2 linked regions of the Sus scrofa genome follow. The protein of the gene in region 1 purifies or fractionates together with the protein of each later gene. This does not show direct contact. Links are inferred from orthologs where the notes say so. Each region holds a gene or a part of one and is shown on either strand. Other genes may lie near its edges. The genes, in order: MTHFD2 and HRAS.

The links.
Region 2: the proteins of MTHFD2 (region 1) and HRAS purify together in Homo sapiens (co-immunoprecipitation; 4 studies listed by BioGRID and IntAct, with this or other methods). This does not show direct contact. The link is inferred for Sus scrofa from reciprocal best matches to the Homo sapiens genes MTHFD2 and HRAS.

The regions. Positions count from the first base shown.
Region 1 is NC_010445.4:68,825,691-68,833,686, forward strand, and holds the start of MTHFD2 (bifunctional methylenetetrahydrofolate dehydrogenase/cyclohydrolase, mitochondrial), read right to left. Parts: upstream 7,952-7,996; 5' UTR 7,895-7,951; coding exon 7,794-7,894; intron 2,994-7,793; coding exon 2,809-2,993; intron 588-2,808; coding exon 465-587; intron 1-464. UniProt on the Homo sapiens protein: Although its dehydrogenase activity is NAD-specific, it can also utilize NADP at a reduced efficiency.
Region 2 is NC_010444.4:297,349-305,909, reverse strand, and holds HRAS (GTPase HRas), read left to right. Parts: upstream 1-3,370; 5' UTR 3,371-3,526; intron 3,527-4,672; 5' UTR 4,673-4,699; coding exon 4,700-4,810; intron 4,811-4,981; coding exon 4,982-5,160; intron 5,161-5,238; coding exon 5,239-5,398; intron 5,399-5,484; coding exon of another isoform or gene 5,485-5,547; exon of another isoform or gene 5,548-5,566; intron 5,567-5,824; coding exon 5,825-5,944; 3' UTR 5,945-6,248; downstream 6,249-8,561. UniProt on the Homo sapiens protein: Involved in the activation of Ras protein signal transduction. Ras proteins bind GDP/GTP and possess intrinsic GTPase activity.

The sequences.
Region 1 (7,996 bases):
GCTGCAAAAACCCATTCTCCTTCTCCAACGTGCCCCCGTGACGTCTCTCTTCATCTGTGCACAAGGAACACACACCTAGCAAAGTCAAATGCTGAGATCAAAGCCAGGGTCCTCTTGTACCACAGCTTCCCTTCCCTGTCCTTTGCATCAAGATCTCAATACCAGAGTTCCCTTGCGGTGCAGCGGGTTAAGCATCTGGCGTTGTCCCTGTAGCAGCTTGGGTCGATGCCGTGGCACAAGTTTGATCCCTGGTCCAGGAACTTCCACATACTGTGGGTGCAGCCAAAACAATAAATTAATGAATTAAAAATTAAAAAAAAAAATCTGCCCCATATCTGATGACATATCTACTCTTGAGTTTAACTCCCCTTTGAGTCAAATCCACCCGAGGGGCCAGTTGTATAAAGGAAACAGGCCTCTGCACTCCTCAGAGATCATTTTAAATGGTGGTGTCCAAAACTCACCTGGAAGAGGCAGCTGAACAAGGAGGCCGTCTACATTATCATCATTGTTTAGTTTACTGATTAAACTCAACAGTTCTTCCTCTGAAATTGAAGCTGGTTTCATAATTGTCTCACTGCTGATTCCTACAAGAAAATTTCAAAGTTTAAAAAAGAAACCCATGTAGGAGTTCCCATTGTGGCTCAATGGTTAACGAATCCGACTAGGAACCATGAGGTTGCGGGTTTGATCCCTGGCCTTGCTCAGTGGGTTAAGGATCCGGCGTTGCCGCGAGCTGTGGTGTAGGTTGCAGATGAAGCTTGGATCCTGCGTTGCTGTGGCTATGGTGTAGGCCGGCGGCTACAGCTCTGATGAGACAGACGCCTAGCCTGGGAACCTCCATATGCTGCAGAAGCGGCCCTAGAAAAGCCAAAAAGACAAAAAAAAAAGAAAGCCATGTAAACCAGCTTTGATAGAAAAAATAAAAATCATTTAAAAAATTAAAAAAAAAAAAAAGCCCAGAGGCAGGAATTCCCATTGTGGCTCAGTGGGTTAAGAACCCAACTAGGATACAGGTTCTATCACTGGCCTTGCTCAGTGGGTTAAGTATCCAGCATTGCTACAAGCTGTGGTGTAGGTCACAGATACAGCCTGGATCCTGAGTTGCTATAGCTATGGTGTAGGCCAGCAGCTGCAGCTCCAATTTGACCCCTAGTATGGAAACTTCCATATGCCCCAGGTGCAGCCCTAAAAAGAAAAAAAGGAAAAAAAAAAAAAAAAAAAAAGAGACATTTATTGAGGCAATGCTATGCTGCCTGCCACACTACCGGCTAGGTTTTTTTTTGTCATCATACCCACCCTGGTAGCTAAAAAGCTTGAGCAGGCTCACAAAGAATCTTAACTAACTTCTCTAATACAGACATTAAAGAATCCTAGTTTGATACTTTTTATACATTATTCTAGATGATCCTCATCAACCTCCTTTTCTAGACAAGGCTCAGCAAAACTGAACCACAAGCTGGCTAGTGACAAAGCCAATCTTTCCAGTTCCAAAATCCATGTTGTTCCCACTGTGCCATGCTACCTCCCATCCAGTGTCTTAATGGTTTACTATTTTCTAGAGGTTCTAAAGGTTTTTCAGTGAAAAGGGCAGGAGGCCTCAACCCTCAATGATAAAGAACAGAATACACCAAGGGCTCACAGTCCACTAATACTACCCAGATATGCCAGTGGTTTCACACCCCTTAGAAGAGCAGGGCACAGTGCTAAGACCAGTGACTCACATATAAGTGGCAGGCATCAGTTGAGCCTACCCTCCTCTGGTCTACGGTCATCCAGTCTGCAATATAGTAAAGCCAAGAACACAGACCTCCTGTCACTCAGACCTGCACCCTCTGCATCCAAACCTCCAACTACTTCGAAATGCATGACTGAATTGCTTTGGAATGAACTGGTGGGGAAATTGAAGGCTATTTCAAAGAAGTCAGAGTCATTTCCTTCAAATCCATGACTGTGTTCTAGGCCACATCACCAAGGTCTCCTCCACCAAGTGCTCAAACACCTCTTTCAGGGATTCATTACTGCTCAAGGAAAGCAGATGTACACTTGTATTCAAGGTCACCTATCGAAGGTTAAGACTAGGGCAGAATTTAGCTTACATCCCAGAAGACACCAAAAATACCAACCATATTCCTTCTGTCCTAGTCTCTAAGCCTCCCCCAAATACAGCCTGAATCTTTATGACAAATATTAGACACAGCTCAATCACATTAACTTCTTCTGCTTGGGTTTTCAAATCAGAAAAAGAATAATATAAAATAGATAACTAACAAGGACCTATTGTATTGCACAGGGAACTCTACTCAATAATCTGGGAGTTCCCATTGCGGCTCAGTGGGTAAGAACCTGAGACGGTATCCATGAGGATGCAGGTTCAATCCCTGGCCTTGCTCAGTGAGTTAAGGATCCAGTGTTGCCACAAGCTGTGGCATAGATTACATATGCAACTTGGATCCTGTGGTGCTATGGCTCTGGCATAGGCCAGCAGCTGTGGCTCCAATTTGACCCCTAGCCTGGGAACCTCCATATGCTGCAAGTGTGGCCCTAAAAAAAATGAAAAATACAAAAATTTTTAAAATAAAAATTCTGTAATAATCTGTATGGGAAAATAACCTGAAAAAGAATAGAGAGACATTTTTCACTTTGCTGTGTACCTGAAACTAACACATTGTAAAGCAAGTATATGCCAATAAAATTTTTTTAAATTTAAATAATAAAAAAATAGAAAAAGGAATAATGAACTACAATAGGGTTTGCCTTGGATAAATCTCGATTTAAAAGCTGGCGGGGTCTGAGAGTGACACATACCCACATCGGCAGCTGTTCTGGTTTTGTTGAGGACATAAGAGTGACTTGCAGGGTTCTCACCAACCAGGACCACACTCAGGTGTGGTCGCTTGTTGCCTGATGCCACCCACTCCTCCACCTCCTGCCGCACTTCCTGCTTGATCTGCTCAGCAAGCTTCTTTCCAGAAATGACAACAGCTTCACTTCTGCAGAATGCAACAGAGACACAAGAATTTTGGGAAAGATCAGACTACAAAAATGTTGTTGCTGGTTTTTTTGTTTGTTTTTTGTTTGTTTTTTTGTTTTTGTTTTGTCTTTTCTAGGGCCACACCCACAGCATATGGAGGTTCCCAGACTAGGGGTCGAATTGGAGCTATATCCATTGGCCAACGTCACAGCCACAGTAAGGCAAATCCAAGCCATGTCTGCAACCTACACCACAGCTCACAGCAATGCCGGATCCTTAACCCACTGAGCAAGGCCAGGGATTGAACCCACCATTTCATGGTTCCTGGTCGGATTCGTTAACTACTGAGCCACGACAGGAACCCCCCAAAAATGTGTTATTAAACACATTTCCAACACAGTTCCAGTTGTAGCTCAACTGAAATGAATCTGACTAGCATCCATGAGGATGCAGGTTCAATCCCTGGGCTTGCTCAGTGGGTTAAGTATCCACAGTTGCTATGGCTGTGACGTAGGCTGGAAGCCGCAGCTCTGATTGGACCCCTAGCCTGGGAACTTCCACATGCCTCAGGTTTGGCCCTAAAAAGGCCCCACTGAAAACAACATTCATAAGGAATGTTCCAACTCCAAGACCAATGATGAATACAGCTGTTTCAAACGTAGAAACAATATATTTCCCCTTAGAGCACATATTTAATCCTCAGGGATAATATCAAGGATATCTTACATGATCAGATATAATTAATTCTTAAGGCCACTGTTAATTAAAATGGAATTTTAAAGCTTTAATTGTCATTAAGCCTTCAAAGACTGCTTTTCATTTGCATTGTGATTAAAAATCTACTTTAAACCAAATCTCAATGTTTTAGACATAATGCAGCAAATTTATATTAATTTGTATTTGCATCTTTTGACATATTAAGAAGATACTGCAGTTTTATACCAAACCAAATGCTTTTCCCCAGATTCTCTGTGATAATACTAGCACAGCACAAAATATCTAAGAGCATTTCATACATATTCGTGGAATATTAAGGAATTGAAAACATGTTAATATTTACAAATCCATTTCAGATGTATGGTTGACACAATATTATTTTGGGTTTGTTTTTTGTTTGTTTGTTTTTCTTTTTAGGGCCCAATCTGAGACATATGGAAGTTCCTGGGCTGGGAGTCGAATTGGAGCTGCAGCTGCCAGCCTACGTCACAACCCCGACAACTCGGGGACCCGAGCTGCATCTGTGACCTACGCTGCAGCTTGCGGCAATGCCAGATCCTTAACCCATGGAGTGAGGCCAGGGATTAAACCCACATCTTCATGGATATTAGCTGGATTCTTTAACCTGCCGAGTCACAACAGGAACTCTCCTGGTGTGTTCTTGATCTATAGTGATACCAGGAGTACCTGTCTCGGGCCAGAAATAGAGTCCCAACATTGGAACAGAATAGAGTGAAAGAATAAAAGGATTTTGGGCAGTCATTTATATTGAATGAAATAACATAAAGTGCCAGGCACACATATATTCACTAAAAATTAACTTCTGGCTTGCTTCTTTGATTACATTTACAAACACACACACACTTACTATACAAGAGACATTTATTTACACACTCATAAGGATATCTATATAAAAACACTCGGTGAGAAGAACTGAGACTGCACTTCCTTAAAAAGTTCCTTCTGAAAGCAGTAAACTTAGAGAAAATGGCAACAGTACATTTGGACTAAGCATGATATAAAAGTTAAGAACGCTGGGTGAATCCAGTGTTCCAAGTTCTAAAGGCAAGTTCTGGATGTTATGCCAATTTGCTTAAAAAGAAAAAAGTCAAAGAATAACAAGAACCAAAACAAAGCCACAATGCAATGAGTATCTTTCATAGTGTAACTGTTTCAGCCATCCTCTCCAAACTACAACTCTGCATAATGCAAAACACAGTCCTGAGGGAGGAGGGAGGAGGGACTCGTCAGTAAATTTCCCAACATTCTTTTTATTCTTTTTCTTTTTCTTTTTTTTGCCAAAGAGCAGATAAAGTTACTGCTACCCCAAAATAAATGGAAATGGAGACTGAGATCAGTCCTACAAGGAATCCGAAATTTATTAATCATATTAGCTAACACTTATTTAGGAGTGCTTTCACAGATGTGGGTTTTTTGGGATTTGTTTTTTGTTTGCTTTTTAGGGCCATACTTTCAGCAGGCGTACGGAAGTTCCCAGGCTAGGGGTCGAACCAGAGCTACAGTTAACGGCCTATATCACAGCTGCAGCCATGCTGGATCTGAGCCGCATCTGTGACCTACACAGCAGCTGTAGGCAACTCTGATCCTTTAACACAGTGAGTGAGGCCAGGGATCAAACCTGCGTACTCGTGCATCCCATGGATACTAGCCGGGTTCATTTCTGCTGAGCCACAAGGGGAACTCCCTCACAGACATGCTTAGAAATTTTTCTGTTAAAATTATGAATCAATCAACTAGAAAGAAGAGGACTGTCCAAATAAAAGTCAAAACTGGAAAACCCACGTCAGTAATATCCACACTTTCTTCCTAATTCAAAAGTTTACAGTACTATAATTTTCCATGAAAAATTAATATCAGGTACATTTTACAATTCACGATCAAGTTATTTTGGAAATAGTTCTGTTACTAATTAATGGAACCAGTAATGAGTGAACAAAGGCACAAAGAGGGATGGAACGAACATCCATTAAACACTAGGTATTTTGCTAAGAGTTTTACATACATTACTCTTGGTTACCTCAGAGCTATTACAATAAGCCTGTTATACAGAAAGGAGAACCTGAGGACAATAAAAACAAAATTCAAACATGAATTTCTGCCTCCAAAATCCATTTTTTTCCTATACCCCACTGTCTCCTAGACTGCAGTACTATCTCTCTAACCATAAAAACTCTCACACTAAGGTCCCTAAAAAGGGAAAACATGCAGGCCCATATTTTGTAAAAGATGCTGTTTTAAATTTACCAGGCAGCAGTAATCAAAGCAATACATTGGCACCCTGAATCCAAATGTACTTATTGCCTTCAAAGCTGAGGAAGCCTACCTGTTTATTCTGAAAAGGAAGTGAAACAACATCATTTGTTGCTGGAGAGTGTGAGCAAACTGGTCCAGTTCTCTAAGTAATAAACTGGAGGATTTTTTTCTTTTTCTTTTTAGGGCCCCACCCGAGGCATATGGAGGTTCCCAGGCTAGGGGTCAAATGGGAGCTACAGCTGCCGGCATACACAATAGCCACAGCCACACAGGATCCCAGCCACGTCTAAGACCTACACACCAGACCCTTAACCCACCAAGCGAGGCCAGGGATCAAACCCTCAACCTCATGGTTCCTAGTCGGATTCGTTTCTGCTGTGCCACAGTGGGAACTCCTGAACTGGAGGATTTTTTTCATCCGTGATTGTGAAGAGATTTATAAAAAAATCCTCCAGTTCAGGAGTTCCCGCTGTCCTGCAGCAGAAACGAATCTGACTAGGAACCATGAGGTTGAGGATCTCTTCACAATCATGGAAGCCACAAGCACACGTGGCCAGAACTCAGGAAGGGAGGAGAACAGCTGGTAATAAAAGACAGCAACAAAAAAGGCAGAGCTGGAAAGGCAGAGCTGGAAAGGCAGGTCAGGGTCAGACTAAGGAAATCTTTGTCCCCTCTGAAGGGGCCAGTCTGAAGTCTTCTCTCAAGAACGCCCCATTTTGGGCTCCAACAGTACCCTGGAAATGTCTCTAACAGCATTTTTACACTGGCTGGAAATTACACACGTGTTGCACCCCTTGACAGGTACGAAGTTCTACTAGGGAAAGAACTGTTTCTACCATCGCTAAATGCTCACAGCCTAGCACAGTGCCTGGATAAAGGGGGCTGCTGTTAAAGGCTTAGGTCTCTGCAGTGCGAAGGCTCAGAAAGAGGGTGCGCAGATTTAGGGAAAGAAACCAGAGCTCCCTCTCCACCACCACGGAGCCCCCTCCCCCCCCAAAAAAAACCCCTAATCTAGGTTTAGAGTGGGACTTTCAAGTCCAGAAAGATCAGGAAACATTTATTACCTCCCTAAGAAAACGCAAATAGGAAAAAAAAAAAAAAAAGAAGAAGAAGAAGAAGAAAAAGAAAGCGCAAATAGGGCTTTCCCTCTTCTCCTTCCGGGTGTTAATCACTTCAGTTTACTCGGCCTGGCACTGACCAACTCGGGGTGGGCTGCAGTCAAAGCCCTGGTGACCACAGCACATTTATTCTCTTGAGAGGTTTAGGGGCAGCTGGAAGCACAGCGCGAACCACACCTACGTTAGGGAAGAGGGGGGGAAGTGCTGGTAGTGGAAAACTCAGGAATTTCATCAGACTGCTCTAACCCCCTCCGCCGCTAGGGTCCCGGGAAGGGACGGCTCGCTGAAGGCTGCTCACTCACAACTCTACTCGGCGCTCACCAAAGCGTCTCCTTGACTTTCCCCAAGACAGCTCCTGACATCCCGGCCAAGGGCAGCCGGCAAGTTCTCGTCAGTGACCTTTGTATGCTCCAAAGTAAAGCGCGGCGCCCCAGAGCCCACCGGCGCTTTGCTCCGCACGGTGGGCCCCGTCCAGCCGGCTTTGAGACTGAGCCGCCCTCCCAAAGGCGGCCTCCAGGTTCCAGCCCGCCCCGCAGAGCGAGCGCCCGGGTGATGGGCTGCGACCACGTTCGGCTGCCACGTCGCCCCGCCACAGCCCTCCCGGTGGCTACCAGCGCCCGGGACGGAGATGCTCGGGAAGGACATCCCTGGGTGGGCCCCGTGCTCGGTTCCCTTCTCAGCGCGCAGACCCAGCTCCCCGACCCTCTTACCGAACTGCCGAGAGGTGGAAGGGGCGATGGCGGAAACTGCAGCTCTGCGCGGGCCGGAGCAGCCGGGTGGCCAAAACAACCAGCGTAGACGCTGCAGCCATGGCCAGCGCTAGAAGCAAAGCGCGCGCAAGCCGCTTGGTTATACCCGACCCGCGTGACAGACCCCACCTCCCGCCGGCACCCATTGGTCCCCTGCCGCCCTC
Region 2 (8,561 bases), on another chromosome or scaffold:
TTCCCAGGCTAGGGGTCTCATTGGAGCTGTAGCCACCGGCCTAGACCACAGCCACAGCAACTCGGGATCCAAGCCCTGTCTGCAACCTACACCACAGCTCACGGCAACGCCGGATCCTTAACCCACTGAGCAAGGCCAGGGATCGAACCCAAAACCTCATGGTACCTAGTCGGATTTGTTAACCACTGAGCCACAACAGGATCTCCTGGATTTACATCCTGATGAGACGGACCCTCCTAGTTGAGGGCTTTGCCCCAAGACAGCATGGGCTCTGTGTGGGGAGGACGCTCGCCTGCTAGGGCCAGTGTCCAGAACAGGGGCTCTAAACACTCCCCTAAAAATCAGCGAATTTGGCAGATGCAGCTTTTGGCCTCTGCTCTCATCTGTATCAGGCTCCTGGGGGTACACTCAAGCTTCTTCCTCTCCACCACATCCAGAGCCACCCGCACCCCGGCTGGGCTTTGATGAGGAGGCGGGAGTGAGGACTGGGCCTTGTGCTCCATGTCCCTTGTTTGGAAAGTGACCCTGCACCAAGGATCCAAGAAGGTTAAGGGCTTGCAGGGCCTCATGGAGTTTCTGGCCAGGATTTCTTTCCAAATGCTCCTCTGCTGTCGGCTCTCCTTCAGCTGGTGACAGGCCCCCAAACCTGGAAGGAGGGCCCCACCACGGGCCCCTGGGAAGAGGCTGCCCAGCTCCCCCGCCCCCCAGCTGCCAGCCCTGGGCTAAGGGGAAGGTGTGGGGGGTGACCGGGCTGTGGCCTCGGATGCCAGGGCACTACCCTCTTTCTCTGCGCCCAACAGCAGCTGCCCTGAGGTCCTGTTCACAGATCCAGAGAATGGGTCCTATCTAGCCCAGGGGCTTGGGCTCCTGGGAGCAGCGCCTGGGTGAGAGGCTGCGGCTTCCATCTAGACACTGTCCCCTCACACCCATCACTGGCTGGACCTGTCTGCCCTGGTCACAGCCCTGAGCCCATCCTGCCCTGCCGCTCCACGAGCTCCTGGAGCTGGACACCAGGGCGCCCTTCTCCCTCCACCACCTGGGCTAATGCCAACTCCTGGCCTGGCCTGTGGGCTCTTTGTGTCCCTCCACCCGCCATCCCTCTGAGGACAGGGCTGGCTCCCCTCCTAGTTCTCCACTCTGGAAACCCGCGGGCTCTGGGTCCCCGCGCAGGGCTTGGGGTCTCTCCTGTCCCGGTGACTGTGCACCCCTCAGAGCACTGGTCAGGGGATGTGGGCTGGGTCCCCAGGGGGCCAGACTTGACATCTGGGGTATTCCTGGGACCCCGCTGGATTTGCTGCTTCATCCTCGGCCGCAGTTTCTCCCTGGCACGGGGGAGATAGCTGGGCCTGCGGCCCGGGACCCAAAGGCGCCCTGGGCTCTCACCTGATGGGTCGGCCCGGTGCCCCCACCCCGGGGGCCTGGCCCTGGGCACCCTCCTCCGCCGGGCGCTCGCCTTGACTCGGGGTTGTTCTTCCGGCCTCGGGGTTGAGGGGCCCGGGCGCCAAGGCAACGGGGGCGGGGCCTCTGCTGAAAGTGCACATATTCATGAGTCTCGGGAACCTTCCAGGCTCCGCGCGGTCGAGCCACGCCCCCTTAGCAACGGTTGCTAGGGCCGGCGGCCAGGCCTGGCGGCCGCCCACCCGCTCGGGGGTTCGCGCTGTTCCGCCCGCAAGCGTGTGAACGCCCCTCGAGCCGGGAGGGAGGGTGGCGAGGTGAGACGCCACGGAGCTGGCGGGCGCAGACAGGCCCGGTGTCGACCCCCGCAAGGTGATCTGGGGTGAAGACTCGCGCCCACCTTTCTCTAGCGAGAGGCGCCCCTGTAGGGTCGTCCCTGACTGAGGCCCAGGCCCTGCGGGATTTACCTCCACCTGCCAGTGCGGCCGACGCCACGACAAAAGGGCGCGCTGTGGGACAGGACCCTCTGAAGACGAGGGAAATGCAGACCTGGACACCTAGAGGGGAGTCCAGAGTGTCCGCGCCGGCGAGGGACGCCGCCGCCCGTTTTCATTTGTCCGCCTTTACTTCGCGTCTACGTGCGTCAGGCACCAGCCGAGCTCTGTCGCCGGCGCGGCGCAGCGCGCTAGACTGCCGGGGTGGGGGGGACACAGCCGGGGTGGGGTGGGCGCGGTCGTGGGGCCAGGGGCGGACCCCCGGGGGCCTGCCATGGTCGAGGCCTCAGCGGGGTGAGCTCCTGGGGAGCAGCGCGGAGCCGGCGCGGGAGGAGTAGGGATGGAAGGGGGTGCCGGCTGAGCCGAGGGAGGTTTGGCCATACGTGTAATGCACCGTTTTTTCTGGTAAACAAGCAGGATGCGTTTATTCGTTACTTTGAAAATTTCTAAAATGCTGAAAACATGTGTTTCTGAGAGCCTCTAAAGGAGGGCCGGTGGGCATGTTTGCGCCTCGGATGAAGGAGACTTCACCTCACCCCCTTCTGGGTTGGATTTGCTGGGTACCTTTTGCTAACTGGGCCTCAGGGTGAGCTTCTGCAGCGCTGGGACCTCCGGGTTTGGGGGAAGCTGCTTGGACAGGGAGTCTGCAAGGTCTGCCCAAATTGGGGGAAGCTGGTGATGAGGGATGGGGAAGAGGGGCCCTTCTCCGAGCGCCAGTCGCTACGTGAGTAGCCCCCCCCAACCCCCGGTAAAAACACTTGGCCAGATTCAATGCTCCGTGGGCTCAGACGCCCCCGTCAGGCCCTAGACGTAAGATTTGAGCTGAGACCAACGACCCCGCCGAAGCTGCCAGGCGTCCCGGGAGCGGTAGGAGCGCCTCCAGGAGCCACCTGCCCCTGCCCCTCCTCCCCGCAGCCGCTCCGATTTTCTACGGCCCCGGCTCCCCGCGTGTCTTCGGTGCTGACCTCGCGGGCTCCATCTTCCCTGAGGCTCGGCCCCCGGGCTGTCCCCTCCGCTCCCCGACCCCCTGCGGTGGGCTGCGCAGCGCAGGGAGAGCCTGGGGCGCGTGGGCGCACCCGTGAGCAACTTCGAGGGCCGAGGGGCCCGGTGCGGGGCTCGAGTTGGGCCCTGAGGACCCTGCCCCAGTCCGCAACGGGCCTCGACCCGCTTCTCCGCGGGATCTCTGTCTCCCTGAGGGCCCTGCTTATTCCTGGGAGAGTCCAGGCCGTCCACGGAGCAGCTTCCTCCCCCGGACCCCACAGCCGGCCCACCAAGACCCACAGGCCGCGGCCCACGCGGGCCACCAGGGCCGACACCGCCCTCCGCGCCGCTCCCGGAAGCCCCGCCCGGCCCGAGGCATCTGACAGGCGGGCCTCCCGGCCAATCGGGGCGGGGCGAAGAGGCTCTAGGGCGGGGCCCGGCAGGCGCAGCCAATGGCGGGCCGCGCCTGGTTGACGGACGGGGGCGAGGCGGGGCGTGCGCGGGCCCGGTCGAGAGTCCGCAGCCAGCTGCCGGAGCCGCACCCGCCGCGGACGGAGCCCATGCACTGGGCGAGCCGCGCGCCCTGGCCCCGGCCCCCGCCGCCGCCCCCGCCCCGGCCCCGGCCCCGGCCCCGGGGGCAGTCGCGCCAGTGAGCGGTGAGTGCGGCGGGGACCACGGGGGGCGGCGGGGGCCGGGCCGGACGGGGGCCCGCGGTTCTCGCTGGGCGCGCGGGCGCGCGGGGGCGCAGGTGAGCCGCGGGCGGCGGCGGGCGGGGCGCTGCGGCTGGGGCTGCAGGCGGCGGCTGGTACGCCCTGCCTCGCCCAGGCCAGCCCCTCCGACTCCAGGTCCCGGGCCCTGTCTTCTGGGGCCCCGCAAGCGCTCTCAGTCTGTTCTCTGACTGCTCCCCGAGCCGAGGCCCGCCCATGACCATGGCCCTGGGCAAAGTCTCTCCCCCTGCAGCGTTCCAAGGATCCCTGCGAAGAACTCGGGCACCCGGCGGCCATCACACACACCAGGCAAACCTAGAGTTTAGGAAGTCACTGCCCTCTGTCCCCGCAGGGTACCTACCCTGTCTAAACATCTCCAGCTGGGGCTGGGGGGCCTTGGCCCCAGGCCCTTTTTTTCCCTTCTCGCTTGTTCCCTTGTGCCACACAAGGTCTTTTCCTGTTGATCAGCTCCTGCTTCCTGGAGCCCTGGCCCCTGCCGGCCTCTTCACCTGCCTTGGTTTATGTTCCCCAAAGTTCTTATGCCGAGAGGGCGCCGCAGGTTTCCCTTTATTTTCACTTATGTGAGTCTGGCTTGGAGCGTGGCCTGAGCTTGTCGGTAGGGGTTCCTCCCGACTGCCTGTCACCCTGTGCCTGGAACAGCACCTGGCATGCAGTAGGCACTCAGTGAATACTTGTCAAATGCACCAGCATGCCCGGAGGGGCCTGGAGCTGGTTGTTGGCTGCCACAGGCCTGTCTGGGCATGCTGCCTGGCCCGCCACTGTGGCAAGACCTGTTCTCATGGGGGGCGCTTGTAACCTCAGCCCGCGGTGCCTCCAGTTCAGGCTTTTTGCCTATCCAGCACCTTCTAATTCGGGTGCGTGCCTGGGAGATGCTCCCTCCTGTCAGCCCTGCCTCTGGGGCCGGCTCCCTGCTTCTCTCCCGCAGTCATTAAGTGCAGCTGGAGGTGCCACAGGTGCGCCGCGGGGCCGCGGTTGTGGCTGCGACCCCTGTTACCTGGATGTACGGGCCCTGGGAGCTCAGCGGGCCTGTCTTGCATGGTCTGGCCACGCTGAATGCTGCTTCCTCCACTGCAGTCCTGTGCTGTGGCCTCCTGAGGAGCGATGACGGAGTATAAGCTGGTGGTGGTGGGCGCTGGAGGTGTGGGGAAGAGTGCCCTGACCATCCAGCTTATCCAGAACCACTTTGTGGATGAGTACGACCCCACCATAGAGGTGAGCCTCCAGCCCGCATCCCGATGTGGGCTTGTCTTCTGCCCGCTCTGCAGGACGGGTTCCCCTCGTCACAGGTCCTGGGCGGGCACGAGAGGAGCGCGGGAGGGGCTGGTGGTGTGAACAGCCCATCCCGGGCGGGCCAGAGGTCCCTAAGTGGTGTCCCCCCCTCAGGACTCCTACCGGAAGCAAGTGGTCATTGACGGGGAGACGTGCCTGCTGGACATCCTGGACACCGCGGGCCAGGAGGAGTACAGTGCCATGCGGGACCAGTACATGCGCACCGGGGAGGGCTTCCTCTGCGTGTTCGCCATCAACAACACCAAATCTTTCGAGGATATCCACCAGTACAGGTGAGCTGCCCGCGGGCCTCGCTTGGGGGCCCAGAGCACGCCGGCACCCTGCCCGCTGGCTCACACCTCCCCTTGCAGGGAGCAGATCAAGCGGGTGAAGGACTCGGACGACGTGCCCATGGTGCTGGTGGGGAACAAGTGTGACCTGGCCGCGCGCACCGTGGAGTCTCGGCAGGCCCAGGACCTCGCTCGCAGCTATGGCATCCCTTACATCGAGACCTCAGCCAAGACCCGACAGGTGAGCCGGAGCCCCGCCCCCAGCCGGCCAGGGCCCCGCCCCGCCCCGCCCGCAGCAGCGCTCACCGCCCCTCTCCCTCGACACAGGGCAGCCGCTCTGGCTCTGGCTCCGGCTCCGGGACCCTCTGGGACCCTCCGGGACCCCCGTGACCCAGCAGCCCCTCCTGCTGTAAGTGTCCCCGGATGGAAGGGGGGAGGTGGAGGTCCCCGGAGAGAGCTGCCCTGAGCCAGGCCGGAGCGGTGACCCTGGGGGCCCCCCCCGGGGGGGGCAGTCCCCTGTCGGCCCTGACCCCTTCGTGGGCTGTGGGGGAGCTGCTGAGGAAGAGGCCTCCTGACCGGTGGCCCTGGGGCCCCTGCTCCCCGAGTGTGGGCCAGGGGCGGGGCGGCGCCGCGGCGGGGCGGCCCTGAGCCCGCGCTCTCGTCCCAGGGGGTGGAGGACGCCTTCTACACGCTGGTGCGCGAGATCCGGCAGCACAAGGTGCGCAAGCTGAGCCCGCCCGACGAGGGCGGCCCCGGCTGCCTGAGCTGCAAGTGCCTGCTCTCCTGACACCGCCGCTGCCCCGTCTGCGGACCTTCTGCGGGGCCTCCATGCAGCTGGGCGCTGGGGCGCAGAGGTGGCGGATGCGGGGAGGAGGCGCACGCGGAGGAAGGAGGAAGGAGGAAGGAAGGAAGTGCCGCCGGCGCCCGGCCAGCCCCGGTCGGCGGCCACAGTGGCCGCAGGCCTCCCAGGACGCTTTGCACGGACTGTCGTGGACTGACGCCACTGGCACCCCAGCTGTCACTCTCCTCCAGCCCCCTCCCCGGCCCGCTGGGCACAGGCTGAATCGCAGTAAATTATTTGATGGTCTTGACCCTGGTATTTGGCTGAGGCTGGGAGGCTGTGGTGTGTGTGGCCTCCCGGGAGGCTGGCGGGAGCCTCAGCTTCAGCCAGCCAGCGGCTTCCTGCCTCGGGGTACCCAGTGCGTCCTGCAGGGACCTCTGGGCGCAAGACAGGGCAGCCTAGCGCTTAACACGTGGAAATGTTATTGCTTTGCCCCGCAGGGCAGGAAGTTGAGACAGAGGCTGTTCCCTCCCTGGGAGGGGGGCCTTCTTTGGGAGTGGTCCCAGGACGGGGCGGGGTCCTTCCGACTCCGGGTAGGATCCTGTGTCCTGAGTTTTAGGTACCTCGAAAGGCAGTCACTGACTTGGGCAGACCTTGCCTTCTTGCCATCAGGTTTGCCGAGGGAGAAGCGCACAGGGCCAAGTGGATAACGCAAGAAAGATTTATTAAGACATCAGGCGGGGCTGCGCTGGGCTCAGGATGGCGCCAGCCCTGACTGAGAGGAGATGCCGCGAGGTGATGCCGGGCTTTTGAAGGGTCTGTGGCGGGACAGCAAAGGAGGAGGAGGGGACGGTCGGGGAGGGGGAAGAGGGCAGTTCATCCTTGGTGGTGGCCAATCTGTGCAGGCAGGGGTCTTCCGCAGGCTGTTGTTTCTTGCTGCCCAACTTGAGCTTCCGCGCTCCGGGAGAGGGTGTCTACAGCAGGGCTCCAAGGTCAACAGCCACATCTTGGGGCCAGGCGTCTATCTCCATCCTTCTAGGAACCTATCACTTAGGTGTAGGACGGGGGGCCGGCCCGCCTTCCCCAGCCACGCCCTCAGTAAGAGTGGCCTGGTGTTCTGGTCACTGAAGTGGCCCTGTGGGGCATGTCCATGTCCCAGGTGGCCACAGAGAGCTCTGAGAGGGCTCGTCTTGTCTCCAGTGGGAATTCTGGACCGCTTAGGGCCACAGCAGTCTTCATCCTGGCAGGGGGCAGCTCGCCGTGCCCCTGCCCTCCCAGGGCCTGGCCCGCAGCTGCTGTGAGGCGGACGTTGTCCCACAGGCAGGCCAGCGTGAAGAGGCAGGTGTGTTGCTGGCCTCCCAGGGCCTTGGGGCCACTGTGCTCCCAATAACCCCCTCCTCTGGGAGCCCCTGAGCGTACAGTTTCTCTGTGGATGCAGAGGTGGCGGGGTGGGCACCTGCAGGGCCTTGGGGCGGCGCTCGGGGCATTGTCCTAGCTCTGTCTTGGCCCTGCTGGTCATTGCCCTGGGGGGGGCAGGAAGGGTGTCCTGAGCTCTGTGGCTCTGTGTTTGGTGGGCTGGGCAGGACCTGTGGCTGGTCCTCGGTGGGGCTGCAGGCCCAGGCCTGTGGTGTGGCCCTGAGGGTGGCCTTGGTCCATGCTCAAGGGCAAAGGTCTCAGCACTCAGGCTCAAAGCCGATGTCTTGGGGCCACTGGAGCGGGCACTTGTAGTTCCCTGGGGGTGCATCGCCATGGCCACAGCCAATCCTGAGGACTGCTCTTGGCTGGGGACAGGCAGGCCAGATGCAGAGGCTCTGGGGTCCCCCGAGGGAGGCCTGAGGCCTTGGTACTCTCTTGCTGCTGCTCCTCAGCCAGTGGGCAGGCCTGGCCTGCTGGTGCTGGGCAGGTGGGCCAGAGAGCCCATCCTTCCCAAAGAGCATCTCTGCTGAGAGAGGTGGGGCGAGGCGGGAGCTCTGGACGGTCGCTCCAGGCCCGGGGCCCACTGGAAGTGAGCACGCTGGGGTCGGCGTCTCCCCCAGGCTGTGTGGTCTGTGCAGGGTGGGGCCCCACCCTGAGAACATCCCTTGGGCCGAGGAAGGTCAGGTTCAGCGTCTGCAGTGGCTGCCCCGGGGCCCAGCCAGTGGCTGAGTCTTAGAGAAGATGAGCAGGTGGCTGGGGTGAGCAGGAAGGCCCTGGGGTGCTCCACGGTTCACTGTCCTGCAGGGCAGGGGGAGACCCCTGCTGAGCCCCTGGGGGCGGGGGCGCCGGTTGGAATTTCTCCTGTGCAGCTTGCAGCTCGGCCATCGAGGGCTGCCGCTGCTCGAGCAGCACCGCATTGTCCTCCAGGCCCCGGCCTGGGATGGGGTGTCCTGCAGAAACTCAGGAGGCCTTCCAGGGGCAGCTTCAGGAGGCGCGTGGCTGGGATGCCATAGGGCCAGCAGGGGGCCCCGCTGGGAAGGCTCAGCCCCCTTCCTGGGGGCAGCGGCCGTGCTCTGCCGGACCCAGGAGAGCCACCGCAGGGGCCGGCCCCATTCCCGCCGCCTCTCCCAGGGGCCCTGCCCAGCCGGCGTGCCGGCCAGCCCTCCTCGGCGGCCTGCGTGCCCCGGGCTTGGGTTTACGCACTCCT